Linked DNA regions of Diceros bicornis minor. The protein of the gene in region 1 binds, or shares a complex with, the protein of each later gene. Links are inferred from orthologs where the notes say so. Each region holds a gene or a part of one and is shown on either strand. Other genes may lie near its edges.

Evidence for each region.
Region 2: the proteins of RNASEH2A (region 1) and RNASEH2C are in contact, whole or in part, in a crystal structure (PDB 3PUF), measured with the Homo sapiens proteins. The link is inferred for Diceros bicornis minor from reciprocal best matches to the Homo sapiens genes RNASEH2A and RNASEH2C. Residues at the interface, in NP_006388.2 of Homo sapiens: Thr11, Asn99, Ser102, Thr103, Leu106, Gly107, Arg108, Val109, Val196, Glu197, Lys198, Leu199, Glu225, Pro226, Val227, Phe228, Gly229, Phe230, Pro231, Gln232, Phe236, Leu245, Ala249, Glu250, Asp251, Val252, Ile253, Trp254, Glu255, Asp256; in NP_115569.2 of Homo sapiens: Pro33, Cys34, Glu35, Val36, Ala37, Val38, Ala42, Pro43, Val44, Gly45, Arg46, Phe47, Phe48, Pro50, Ala51, Arg53, Ser62, Phe63, Arg64, Gly65, Arg66, Cys67, Leu68, Leu134, Glu135, Thr136, Lys143, Gly146, Ala147, Thr149.

What each region holds. Positions count from the first base shown.
Region 1 is NC_080769.1:4,554,055-4,561,869, reverse strand, and holds the start of RNASEH2A (ribonuclease H2 subunit A), read left to right. Parts: upstream 1-4,626; 5' UTR 4,627-4,643; coding exon 4,644-4,770; intron 4,771-4,938; coding exon 4,939-5,010; intron 5,011-5,128; coding exon 5,129-5,255; intron 5,256-5,355; coding exon 5,356-5,443; intron 5,444-6,826; coding exon 6,827-6,964; intron 6,965-7,068; coding exon 7,069-7,156; intron 7,157-7,815. Other genes in the region: PRDX2 (peroxiredoxin-2), read right to left, coding at 50-225, 347-469, 1,009-1,162, 1,247-1,349; THSD8 (thrombospondin type-1 domain-containing protein 8), read left to right, coding at 2,147-2,297, 3,388-3,587. UniProt on the Homo sapiens protein: Catalytic subunit of RNase HII, an endonuclease that specifically degrades the RNA of RNA:DNA hybrids. Participates in DNA replication, possibly by mediating the removal of lagging-strand Okazaki fragment RNA primers during DNA replication.
Region 2 is NC_080770.1:7,504,866-7,510,801, forward strand, and holds RNASEH2C (ribonuclease H2 subunit C), read left to right. Parts: upstream 1-3,977; 5' UTR 3,978-4,007; coding exon 4,008-4,179; intron 4,180-4,367; coding exon 4,368-4,540; intron 4,541-4,618; coding exon 4,619-4,738; intron 4,739-5,050; coding exon 5,051-5,077; 3' UTR 5,078-5,185; downstream 5,186-5,936. Other genes in the region: histone acetyltransferase KAT5, read right to left, coding at 5,658-5,792, 5,886-5,936.

The DNA.
Region 1 (7,815 bases):
TGAGCGTGTACCCGTGTGTGAACACACGTCAATGTGTGTGTCTGCTCACCTTCCCCGTGCTCGTCCGTGTACTGGAAGGCCTGGACCAGCCGCAGAGCCTCGTCCACAGAGCGCCCCACAGGCAGATCATTGATGGTGATCTGGCGAAGGACACCCTTGCCATCGATGATAAAGAGGCCCCTGAAGATATCAGCGTTCATGGTGAGGAGCTGGGAGCTCCCACTGCTAGGGCCAGGGGAGGGAGCACGGACTGTCTGCCAGCCACAGAGTTGTGGGCAGGGAGGGTATCGTCCAACAGTGGTCCCCTCGCCGTGAGGATGGGGGCTCCCTGAAGGCCCCACGGTACCTGTAGGCGATGCCTTCATCTTCTTTCAGCACGCCATAATCGCGGGACAAGCTTCTGGTTACATCGGCCAGCAGGGGGATGTTCAGGGGGCCCAAGCCTCCCTCCTTCCGGGGGGTGTTGATCCTGGGGGTGGGGGAGACAGGGCGAGGACCTCAAGAGGCCTGGCACAGCAGGGTCCTCACCTTGTGGGCCTGGGGGTGATAAGGGCTGGAGAGCGGGTGCTGGAGGCGAGAGATAAGGGGCTTTAGAGGGAGGCCCTGGGAGCCTCACCCACCCCACCCTGAAGTGGCGGTTTCCCACAGCTGGGAAGACTAAGCTAATGCTCCAGCAAAGTGGCTTCACGTGCTGGCGGCCTCCAGCATCTTGAGGCAGACAGCCTGCCTTAGAGTCCCCATTTTCTTCTCTAGCTCTGCGTGCTGGGGCCTGGCCTTTCACTCCCTTGAACTGGAGTTTCCACCTTCTTGAAATAGTGCTTGGGAGGGAGGCTGGGTTGCCCCAAGAGAGAGAAAGCATCTGAAACTCTACACAGCAACTAGTTTCCCAATGCTAATTACTGCCATCATCATTTCCAAGACGGGAAAGGGAGGCACCACAGCTGCCTCGGGCCCTACAGAGGTGTAAGCTTAGCCTCTCCCACTCTCCCACCTGGCCCCCGCTCCTACCAAGCCAGGTGGGTGAACTGCGAGTCGACCGAGACCCCCAACACCTCGCAGCCCAGGTTGCGGAAGTCCGCAGCACGCTCGCTGAAAGCGATGATCTCCGTGGGGCACACGAAGGTGAAGTCCAGCGGGTAGAAGAAGAGGACTACGTATTTCCCTGGGGGCGGGGGCGCACAGACGGGGAGTTAGACCGCTAAAGCCTGGGCCCCGCCCCCACCTGGCCCCTCCAGGCCGCCCTCACCTCTGTAGTCGGAAAGCTTCACCTCCTTGAAGGCGCCATCCACCACCGCGGTGGCGTGGAAGTCCGGGGCGGGCTTTCCGATGTGCGCTTTGCAGCAGACCATGACTGAAAGCTGAGACCCCCGCCCGGTCAGTGCGCCCGGGCAGACCCCTTGTCCTCCCTCCCCAAGGTCACGCTGCGTGCTGGGCCGGTGACCGAGGCCGAGCGGCGAGGCGGCAGCACCGTCCCCGCACCCTCCCGGGATCGGCTCTGCGCCGCCTGGAGGCTGCGGGAGACCCACCCCCTGGCCAGAGCGCGAGTGGCCCGGCCGCGGCCGCAGGGCCCGCCACGAGTGGGTCGGCCCGAGCGCGGTGGCGCAAGCCCACCGCCCAGGGAGGGGACCCCGGGAGCGGGGGGCGGGAACTCGGCGATGCGGCCTGTACGCCAAGGCTCTGGCCTCGGTTTCCCCTGCAAGGACAAAGGCGGCCACTGTGGCGGGCAGGAAACAAAGGCGGCCAGCGCTGAGGTCTAGAGAGGGCCGGAGCTACTCCAAAAGGTCCCCCCAAGACCGTGCAGTCCGGGTGTCCATACCTGCGTGGGCAAGGGCGGGACGCACGGACAAGCACACACCCGAGCTCGCGTTCTCAGCGCCAAGCGCGCCCCAGGCCGCTGAGCCTTTTATGCGCCGCCGGAACCGTGACGCGCAGGGCGGGGGGTGGGCGGACGAGCCGAGCGGTCGGGTCCACTGCAACCGCAGGGGAGGGGGAGCGGAGCCGGCCGGGTCCACGCGCCTGCGGGCGGCGGGGGGAGCGCGCAGCCGCGGGCCCCCACCACTGCGCCCGCCCCCGGGGATCGGGCGGGCACCGCGGACCCCGCGCGGGGCTCCTCCTCGGAGCGCGCCGGGGTCGGTTGGAGTCCGGCATGGCCCCGAGCCGAGCGGCGCTACTGCTGCCGCCTCTGATGCTCCTGCTGCTGGCGACCCCTGCCCAGGTCTCCCCCGACTACCATTACTTTGGCGAGCAGGGCGAAGGCGACACCTGGGAGCAGCTGCGGCTGCAGCATCAGGAGAAAGGTAACCGCAGGCCGCGGGTGTGACGGTGCAGAAAGGTGCCCGTTGCCCCACTTCGCCAGCTGGCTGCAAACAGACCCTTCTCTGGGGACTTCAAATCCCTGCCCAGCTGCGCCCACGCGGGACCCCCTTGGGCTGGTTACTTTTCTCTGAGGCTCAGTCTCCTCATCTGTAAATTGAAATAGAAACTGCCCGTAAGCAGCTTACAGGGGGAAAGGAGACGTGGGCAGGTGAGACATACCGGAGCAGACACATCCGTAAACTCACGGTTAGGTACATTTCTGAAGTTAGAGAAGGTCCCGCTAAAAAAAAGATAGGTGACCACTGCAGCCAGAATGACAAGCAAAAGCCAAAAATGCAAAGATTTAGGGGGAAGAGTGTGCAAGAGAGTGGGAACAGCAGGTGCTAAGGCCAAAAGGCCTGAAGGAGGGATGGAAAGTGGCCATTATTGTCTGGCGGAGGCTTGGGGAGGGCCTGAGGTGTCAGGACTCTGGGAGCCACAGAGTTGGGTTAAGACTGTCTCATAGGACACATAGAGGAGTCAGCAAAAGAACATTGTAAAGGGCATCGAATAACCGCTTCAAATAACTTGTAGCTGCTTGAAATGTGATCATAATAATTGTTTTTGTTCTACGTGTGAGCCCACGGCCAGGAGCTTTAAGTACCTTCATTATGCCAATTATGTCATTTAATTTACCACCTGGCAGCCCTGCTGGTCAGGCGGCACTGTGCCCGCTGGACAGGCCCATGCTCACGCCCCTGGAAACAGGAGCCAGCTTCAGATGGTGGCCACCAAGGGTGTTGTACCACACTCCCAACTGGGCAGGCTAGCACAAGTGGGAAGTGTCAGTGTGCAGTCTGTCTGGGCCCCTCACCAGATGTGCGAGCTCAGAAGGGTGGCTTTGTCTTTGTAGGTGTGTTTCCCCACCTGGGAATAATGGGAAGATTAAATGAGACAATCTATGGTGGGGTGCCTGACACAGGCAGAGCCCAGCACACAGGAGCTGTTGTTATTTGTTAGTGTCTTTATCCTCCTCCCTCCCCAGAGGAGGGCATGGGAGTAGATCCCCTCTACCTGGCTCTCCATCCCTAGAGGTGGAGAACTCGATCTTTGGCCCGTGGGGAAAGTGGCGCTGTTTGTGCGACGTGGGCAAGCAGGAGCGCAGCCGCGAGGTGGTGGGCGCAGCCCTGGGCCCGGTGTTCATGGACCGCGAGAACCTGGTGCAGGTGCGGCCCTGCAGGCAACGGGATTGTTCATCCTGCAAGCCGATGGACTGCGACTGGAGGCCCTGAGCCTGGGTGAGAGACGGGCGCAGAGGAGGCGGGGCCGGGGCGGGCCGGCAAGTGCGGCGCCGCGAGTCCCCAGGGTGGGCAGGAAGAGAGGAAAGGAGAAATCGGGCCCTGAGTCTGGGGCTAGAGGGTGGTGGGGGAGGGGAGAGCTGAGTCAGGAGATGTGAGCCCCGCTGATTCCGCGAGGAAGGTGGGGTGGGGAACGGAGGCGGAGGAGCTGGACCCTGAGGAAGGGGCATGAGCCTGGTGAGGGGCAGGGACCCACAGGCCGAGGACGTGAGCCCCCTGAGACTAGAGAATAGAAGGGGAGGTGAGGTCGGAGGGGCGGTAGGGGGGAAATGAACCCTGAGTTGGGGGATATGAGCCTGCGTGGGGGGCAGAGACTCTGAGCAGGATCTGTTGAGTCTGGGGTCTCGGTTCGGGGTAGGCGAGGCTTAGCCCGAAAGAGAGAGGGTAGGAATCAGGGGGCGGGGCGGGGGGAGTGGGGATCCGGGTGAGGTACGGAGAGAGGGAATTGGCAGACCCCAAGTCCGAAGGCCTGAGCCCAGTGGGGGCAGTGATACCTAGTCCAGGGGGCTTAGACTGTGTGCAGTGGCGGCGATCCCGAGTACAAACGGCCTGAATGCACGTGGGAGACAGGGATCCAGTGATGCGGAGACCCGTATTCTAGGAGGACAGTAGTATTTGACCTTCTAGGCCCTGACTGGCCTGGGTTCTGCAAAGCCTGCCTTCATCTCGGGTTTATTTCCTTCTCTCACCAGCCCGGGCGAGCGAGGCTGCAGAGACCCCGCGGCGGAGCTCAGAAAGCGACCCCACCCATCCGGTTCCCCAAACGTGGAGCTCGGCGGTCGGCCTTGGGAACTACAATTCCCAGGAAGCCAGGAGGCAGCGGCGTAGGCGTCGGCGACGCCAACGTCCACGGCGGCGGGAGCGTCGGGGGCGTGTCCTGCGCGCCGATTGGTCGGGAGCGAGCGCCGCTGCGGGGCCCGCGGAAAACGCGCGCCGAGACCTGCCCCTGCGGAGCTGGTTGCTGCGGCTGGTGGCGGCGGCCGAGGCGGCATGGATCTCAGCGAGCTGGAGAGAGACAATACGGGCCGCTGTCGCCTGAGCTCGCCTGTGCCCGCGGTGTGCCGCAAGGAGCCCTGCGCCCTGGGCGTCGATGAAGCGGGCCGGGGCCCGGTGCTGGGTGCGCCCCCAGGGCCGGGGCGGGGAGGGGCGTGGTCAGGGGGATGCAAGTTGCACTAAAACGGGAGCCGGGATTGCCCCGGCCCCGGGGACGGGGGTGATAGTGGTGGTGGTGGAACGGGGATGGCCGCCTTCACGGCCTCACTGCTTGGACCCCCCGCTTCCCCAGGCCCCATGGTCTACGCCATCTGTTATTGCCCCCTGTCCCGCCTGGCAGATCTGGAGGCCCTGAAAGTGGCAGGTGAGCCCGAGGTGCACGTCTGGGGAGGGTGTACCTGGGCCTGTGCAGGGGCGCGGTGGGGCTCGGGGAGGGACTGGAAGAACCAGCCGCTCCGCTTCTCTCCCAACCTTCTTCCCAGACTCAAAGACCCTGTCGGAGAGCGAGCGGGACAGGCTCTTCGCGAAAATGAAGGAGGACAGGGACTTTGTGGGCTGGGCACTGGACGTGCTGTCTCCAAACCTCATCTCTACCAGCATGCTTGGGCGGTGAGGGTCCTAGGAGGGGCCAGGATGGAGGGGCGGCCAGCATGGGCTGGCAGGGATCGGTAGCTGGGACGGGGTTAACTGGACTCTGTCCTCACTGCAGGGTCAAATACAATCTGAACTCTCTGTCCCATGATACAGCCGCCGGGCTGGTGCAGTATGCTTTGGACCAGGGCGTGCAGGTCGCCAAGGTGAGCTGTTGGGTTGCCCTCGTTTGATCAGCTCCAGATAAAACGGTATAAAAGTTCAGTGGCTGATTCAGCGTCAGACATATCTGGAACAGTGTCAGACGGATCAGGAACATTTGTTGCTGCTGTTGCCTTCCTGCTGCTTTCCCATCCTAAATGTGTGCCCTACTGAGCACCATGGTAGACCCCCCAGCCCCACCCCCAACTAATCTATCTCTGTATCCTAAAGGCTCAGACTCCAGAACAAATCCCACATCTGTCCACCTGCCCACAGCCTCTGTCCTTGCCCAGGGCACCCTGGCCTCCCGGATGCCTGCCCCGTCCTCCTCCCTGATCCCCCCACCTCCAGCCCCCTCCCTTGCAATCTGCTCCATACACAGCAGCAGCAGACAGTCATCTTTTTGAAATGTAAATCTCGACATTTAATTTTTTGATCACGGTGGAAATTAAATCAGGAAAATTCACAGGCAAGTAGGGGAGAATGAGATTAAATTACCAGAAATATAAGTTGGCATTGCATCGAGTGCTCTGAGGCAAAGAACGGGCTGTTTTGAGAGACTAATGAGGACAAATACACTTGAGACGGGGAATGTAACAAGGGAGACCTTGCTGACGAGGTGGCTGAGGTCCAGGACTAGACTGTGGAGCTGACGAGACAGTACTGGAGCAGACAGACGAGGGCCCTGTTCTCAGGGTTCATGGCCAGTCGGGTGAGACAGTGGTCAGCTGATGAGCAAATAAAAAGGTGATTTAAGAACAATAGTGCTAGGGAGGTCACCTTCCGTGTTACCTCCCTGACCTCATCTCTGCTCCAGCCATAGGGCCTGCGTACTGCTGTCCAGCATCCTCGACGTGGTCCCACCTCAGTGCCTTTGCACTGGCTGTTTCTTCTGCCTAGAACACTCTTTTGCAGATCTCCATGTGGCTCATTCCCTCACCTCCTTCAGGCCTTTATTCAGATGTCGCCACTTCAGAGTGACCTTCCCCAAACCTCCCCCCCCACTGTTTAAAATTATAACCCTTTCTGACTCTGCCTTATCCTTTATTATGTACCGTGTTTCCTGTCTGTGGTCCTCACCAAGGTGTCCCCTCGAGGAGGACAGAGATTTTTGTCTGGCGTTTTCCCTGCATGTCCCTGGCACATAGAGCAGCCCATGGCGCACAGTAGGTGCTCAGTAAATGTAGAATGGCTGCGGCGTGATCAGAGAAGCCTCTGTGGGAGGTGGCGTCTGAGCTGAGACCCTGATGGAAAGCTGCAGCCTGGGGATGAGCTGAGAGGAGAGTGTCTTAGGCGGCGGGAACAACGAGGGCGAAGACTGGGAAGGTGGATTGTTTGCAGTTTTTCCAGCTGTCTGTTGAATGGATACATTTCTGTCACCGCGGCAGGTATTTGTGGACACCGTGGGGATGCCAGAGACGTACCAGCAGCGGCTGCAGCAGCGCTTTCCCGGCGTTGAGGTGACGGTCAAGGCCAAGGCCGACGCCCTCTACCCCGTGGTCAGCGCTGCCAGCATCTGTGCCAAGGTCAGTCCCCCGCTGGCCGTGGCCGGCTCCCAGCACCCTCCTGGCAGGGGGCAGGTGTGGCTGCCTCGGGGGAGGGAGGTCCCCAGTGTCTGTCTTGCTTGCAGGTGGCCCGAGACCAGGCTGTGAGGAACTGGCAGTTTGTGGAGAAACTGCAGGACTTGGACGCCGATTATGGCTCGGGCTACCCCAACGGTGAGCAGGTGGCCGTCCGGCCCGCCTCGTGCTGCCCTGAGGCAGCCGCAGCGGTGGTGACACGGACAGGCCCAGCACGCTGCTGAGGTTTTCTAAGTTCTGCTCACCCCGCTTCGCAGCGGGGGATGCTGGGGGCCCCTTGGTTACGGCCGGTGTGTGGCGGAGCTGGGTCCCAGCTGGCAGGCTCCCTCCTGTCTCCCTCCCTCGATGCTGGCTCTCTGGAGCCGCAGGGAGGGTGGGCCTCTGTCTCTTTGTGAAGGGGCAGGAGTGAGGGGCGCCAGCTTAAATCCATTGTTTTCTCTCCATTATGAGGCTCAGTCTCATCTGTGTAGTGGAGACAATCGTGTCCCCCACCCCGCACACACACAAGGGCAGATGTGAGATTCAGTGGCCGGATTCAAGGGACCCTTGGGTCCTCTGAGGCACAGGGAGGGAGTGGCCGTCGGGTGGGGTGACACAGCAAGTCTGTGATTGGAACTTAGGTGAGGCCAAAGTAAGGATGGACACCAGGTCCGGGCCAAAGGCAGTCTGGCCAGCGTTCAGTGCTTACTGGGCGCCTGGTACGTGCCCTGCAGGGCTGAGCCCTGCGGATGTACCCGTGAGCAAGACAGACAGGGACTTCCTCTCCCCACTGAGCTCATGGTGACGTAGGGGAGACG
Region 2 (5,936 bases), on another chromosome or scaffold:
GAGGCAGAGAGGAGGCAGGGAGAGGCAGTAGGTTTCTCTAAACATATCTTACTTTGTCGGTTTGACCTGTGGTGGGCGAGTGATTAAGATCGGTGCTCTCACCGCCTCCGCCCAGGTTCATTTTCCAGTCAGAGAACCAGATCACATTGGCTGTCATACTGTGGCAGCTGCGTGCTGCTGTGATGCTGAGAGCTATGCTACCAGTATTTCAAATACCAGCAGGGTCCCCCATGGGGGACAGGTTTCAGTGGAGCTTCCAGACTAGACAGACTGGGAAGAAGGACCTGAATACCAACTTCCGAAAAAATTGTCTCCGAAAACCCCATGACTACCAGCGGAGCCGTGTCGGATACAGCGCCTGAGGACGAAAGGATGGCTCGAGAAGAGCAGGCAGGGCTCCCTCACTGCACACAGGATCACTAGGAGTCGGAATCGACTCCACGGCACTAACAAGAGATTTGACTTTGGAAACATGTAAATAATCACATAGTTATAAAGCAAAAGTAAATTTTTAAAAAGCTATCTCAAAAAGTTAAAAGCAAACTGAAACTGATCCTAACCATGTATCCAGGTGGTGGTCTAACCACAGAGAGAACTATTTCAAGTGATTAAAAACAGTAATTTGAGGGGCTGGCCCTGTGGTGCAAGCGGTTAAGTGCTCGCGCTCTGCTGCGGCGGCCCGGGTTTCACCGGTTCGGATCCCAGACGTGCACCGACGCACCGCTCGTGGAGCCATGCTGTGGTGGCGTCCCATATAAAGTAGAGGAAGATGGGCACGGATGTTAGCCCAGGGCCAGTCTTCCTCAGCAAAAAAAGAGGAGGATTGGCAGATGTTAGCTCAGGGCCGATCTTCCTCACAGACACACAAAAAAACAGTACTTTGATCGTACATCTCCAGTGGAATATACCTTAAGGGAAAAAAGAACTACAAAAAAAAAAATTCTTAAACTGTGTTTGATCATCATATTGTTAGCTACAGTGTTGTCGTTCTTCTTCTGAGATTGTTGTGTATGTAGCGTGCAGAAACAAGATACAAATGCAAGAGCAATGAGGTTAGTAGGAACCCTGTAGTCCTAGAAATAACAGTATGAACTCATGAGGTATTTTCTCTTTAAAAGCACGAAATACACATTTCCTAGCTTTGTTCACTGAAAACATCTAGAAACAATAGCCAACTGAGTAGCAATGAGCACATCTGGTGTCAGATTGGATTAGTAAATATCATTTCCTAGCAAAAGGGACCAGAGATCCTTGGAGAAATGGATGATTCCAAGTCTAGGGCAGGAACTGTAGTAGATGAGCCAGGGACATCTTGTGGTTCCAGAAAACAAGGAAACCTATAAAAGACTACTAGGGTCACATCAAAAGATGTGCTAACTGGAAGAGGCTCCCAGTGGCAACAGATTGGACAATTTGAGCATCAAGAAGAAGAATAACCACAACTAACTGAAACATATCAAAATGTTAAAAATTCAATATTTAATAATGATACTTTTTTTAAAGGTCACGGTTGGAGCATGCTAGGGAAACAACTTATTATTTTAAAAACTGGGACATAAAAGGAAAAAATCAAGCAATTATTTTGCCCTTCTTGTACTCACCATACCAATGGGCAACCAAATAGTTGGTGAGGGGGAGTTTTCTTTATAGAAGTATTCCAGCTAGTAAATGAAGACAAAGTGGCGGACTTCGAATCTCAGTTTTGTAACTTCTAATGAATTAAAGGATCTAGGCCATCATCATCTATGGCTGCTAAAAAGACAGACACGAGGTATTATGTCCCTCCTGCTGGAAAACACACACCTCCTTTGAAGCAGTCTTGCCCCCTAAAAAAAGAATCTGATGAAGCTTCTAGATCTAATTACTAATTTACAGGAAATACAGGGCAGATGAACACGACAATACAGGAATGCAATCACTAAAATCCAGGCTATGAGAAACTTACAAGATCAAATACATAAAAATAAAATCCAATAGCTACTCCAGAGTTAAAAAACCCTGAGTAGTACAGTTTTAATGAGACATGTAACAAATCGAAAGACAGTGTCCTGATTATTGGTGAAACAGCAAAAGCATTCTCATGCAAGTTTCAGGAAAAAGAAAAGGATGTCCACTGATACTAGTAAGACTGGAGATTGTTCCCACAGTGCTAGAAAAGGAAACAAACTACACGATGTAATGAGGAGGCAAAACTATCATTATTTGGAAGTGAGATGACTAACTCTGGGAGACCCAAGAAAATAAAATGAAAACTCTCAGGAATAGCAAAAGAACTGAGTAGATATCCAAGTAAAAAATTAATTGTAAGAATCAACGGCTTTCTTGAAAACTATGGCCTGCAGGCCAATCCAGCCCACTGCCTGTTTTTGCAAATAAAGTTTTATCGGAACACAGCCATGCTTATTCATTTACATATTGTCTATGGCTGTTTTTATGCTACAGTGACAAAGTTGAGAAATTGTGACACAGAGCATATGTGAGGTTTGCCAAGCTTTGCTATAGATAAATAATAATGTTAGAAAATAAAATTAAGAAAAAAAAGATCTAATTTGTAATAGAAATGAATATAAGCTATCAGGAATAAACTTTAAAATATATAATAACTATTATATATGAAGAAAACAACTGTACAGACATAAAAGGGGATATGAATAAATGGTATTAGGTGTCTCATTCTTGATAGAAAACCAAAGCAAGACTCTAAATTAAATTGTCGATACTCTGCAGCCAAAGACCACCAGGAATACATCCATACCTGAACAAATGGGTTTACTACTGTCGTACTGTGGGGCATCTCAGTAAGGGGGGTCAGGAAGCATTTATAGGATTTGGGCTTGTGTTAGGTGATTTAGGGAGGTTTAAGGAAGCAGGGCTTTTCTCTGGACTGGATGTTGTCAGCAAGTGGGAGGATTTCTGTGATGGGATATGTTAACAAATCTTAACTAGACAGAGGCTACAGCTGTAATTGGTAAAGAAGCAACGGTCACATATATTCTCCGAGAAAGAGGGATGTTTCCTCATTTTTGTGGTTTGGACAATATTCGTGCCTTTGTTGGTGTTCACGTGATTTCGCAGTGATCTTGTTTTTGTCTTGATACCTCATGTCACAGAGGGACTTTGTCTGATGTTGATGATCTGTGAAATCGTTCATGTTCAACAGAACACCAAGGCCAGCTCCTGGATGCCAGGGATGTTTTTCTCTATCTCAAATCTAAATTAAATGCAATTTAATCTTGATCACCAGTTTTGTATGTGTTTTGTTTTATGAGAGAACTTGACAAAGCATATCTAAATTAGGTATCTGAACAAATAAACAGTAGAGAAGAGTTTAAGAAACCAAAAAAGAGGGCCGGCCCTGTGGCTTAGCGGTTAAGTGCACCCGCTCTGCTGCTGGCAGCCGGGGCTTGGGATCCAGGGCGCACACCCACGCACCACTTCTCCGGCCATGCTGGGGCCACAGCCCACATACAGCAGCTGGAAGGATGTGCAGCTATGACATGCAACTGTCTACTGGGGCTTTGGGGGGGAAAACACACACACACACACACACACACACACACACACACACACACGAGAGCACTGAGAAAACTGAGATATAAAAGGTTGATAAACTTGACTATGAAAAATAAAAGTCTTCTGTGTAATAAAAATCACCCATACACGGGTTTAGAAGACAAGCTACAAACTCGGATAAAATATCTTCAACACATTTGAGGAAGGGCTGCTATCACTAGTAAAAACAAACAAACTCCCTACCAATCAACATAAAAAGTGTACTTCTGGGAATCGTTTTAATTTTTTTACAGTAAGAATGTACAACTGAAAAATTTTCAAGGGAAAAAAGCGGAGACTTGAACACAGAGACCCGGGCGTAGCAGAGGAGCTTCAGGGAAGGACTACGCTTCCCAGGAGGCTCTGCGCTGACTGTCCCCGGCTCCCGACAGGCTCCGCGCGCTTTCCGCGCCAGTTTGGGCCTTACTTAGCGAGCAACCGAATCGCGCCGGAGGATGGAGAGCAGTGACGAAGCAGCCGTCCAGAAGCACCGCATCCACTTACGCCCCGTCTCGCTCCGCGACGCCGCCCCCGTCACGCTGCACCTTCTGCCCTGCGAGGTCCCAGTTAACCAGCCCGCCCCCGTGGGGCGCTTCTTCACCCCGGCCATCCGCCAGGGTCCCGCCGGTGAGCGCTCGCGGCCGGACTACGGCTCCCGGCAGCCCCCGCGCCGGCGCCGCGCTCTTCTCGGCAAGGAGCGGCGCGAGAGCTCCTGGGGATCGTAGTCCACCGGAGGTGGCGGAGGGCCGCCGCCGGGCTTGCCCCGCAAGGCCTGGATCAGGCCCTCACTAAGGCGCTGCGCCTGCCTTCTCCAGGACTCGAAGTGTCGTTTCGGGGCCGCAAACTACGGGGCGAGGAGCTGGTGCTGCCGCCCGGCCTCGTGGGATACGTGATGGTGATGGAAGAAAAGCAGGACTTCTCGGAGGCTCCGGAAAATGACGACGAGCAGGAGCTGGTGGAACCCCCGGAGGCGCTGGAGCGGGACTTCGTGAGCAAAGGGGCACAGGGTTGGAAGGGGGTGCGGGCGGGAGCGCGGCCCCCGTGCTGAGCCGAGCCCCTTCCCCAGGACTGCTTTATCGGAGCCACTGCTAGTTTCAGCCGCTTCACTCTGTGGGGCCTGGAGACCATCCCCGGCCCGGATGCCAAAGTGCGCGGGGCCCTAACCTGGCCCAGCCTCGCTGCAGCGGTGAGTAGATGGATGGTCCCCTTCCGCCCAGGCCCCATCCGTTCCCCTTCTGACTTCAAGGTGATTTCCTGGGTTGTCCAGAATCTTGCTCCTCAGCAGATATGGGGCTTTCGGCCTGGGCAGTACAGTGGGGCAGATGGAGCCCGGGTCTGCTGGAGCACTGGACTGGGCAAGGGCAGGGTGGCTTCCCCAGCACTCTTCTCTGGCCTGTCTAGAAGAGACTATCACAGAGCAGCCGGGTCCCTCCCCAAGTATGTGAGCTACCCAGCCGCTCTCTCAGAAATCCAATAGCAGAGGTGACTCCTGTTGCAGATCCACTCACAGGTGCCCGAGGACTGAGAACCAGAGCTTGAAATTGAAAGCCACTGATCCCTTCAGCCCAATTAACCAGCTCTTCACTTCGGAGCCACTGATTCCATCACCCCAATAAACGAGTTCTTCACAGCACCTGTGAGTTTTCCAGCATCTTGGAGCCCCTAAGCCGGCACTGCCCAGTCTCCCACAAGAGACTCTGACCTATACAAACAATTTATTGCCAGGGGGCAAGAGAGGCCAGAATTTAGCAGCCAGTACCCACCCCACCCCCAACTCCTACTTTACAAAAGAAATTTTTACAGCCACCAGCCTTCTGTACAGAGCACCCCCACGCCTGTCTCACTGTACACAGCTGCCCGGCTCTCTCTGGTCCCTGGTTCACAGCAGGCCTGGGCCTGCAGCGAGCTGACCTTGGAGTTGACCTGAGCCCTGAGCTCGCCTCGGTGCTGGGTACCAGCTGGCCCCTACCAGGCCTGTCCTCCTTGTGGAGCTGTCCTCAGCCCCGTCTCCCTTGGTGTGCCTCTTGGGGGCCTCAGTGGGCGTGGGATGGGCTGTCAGCCCCAGTTCTGCCGGCTTTGTTGGCACTGCCACAGGCAGTGCCTGGTCACCACTTTCCCCTCTTGCTCCAGTCCTTGGGAGTGAAGTGGAGACACTTGGAGTCGATCCGAAGGAGCCGCTTGAGCATAGCCCGTTCGTGCCCATCCACAATGTCCTCCGACAATGTGAGGATGTACTGGCCCTGGACAGGAGACGGGGCCGGGCAGGTCAGCCCACGTGGGGCCTGCACTGTGCACCCCTGCACACACCTGTCTCCCCCTGCCTGCCTCCCTACCTTGTAGTAGTTGATGAGGTTGAGGTACTGTAGCGTGGAGATGACATCCTC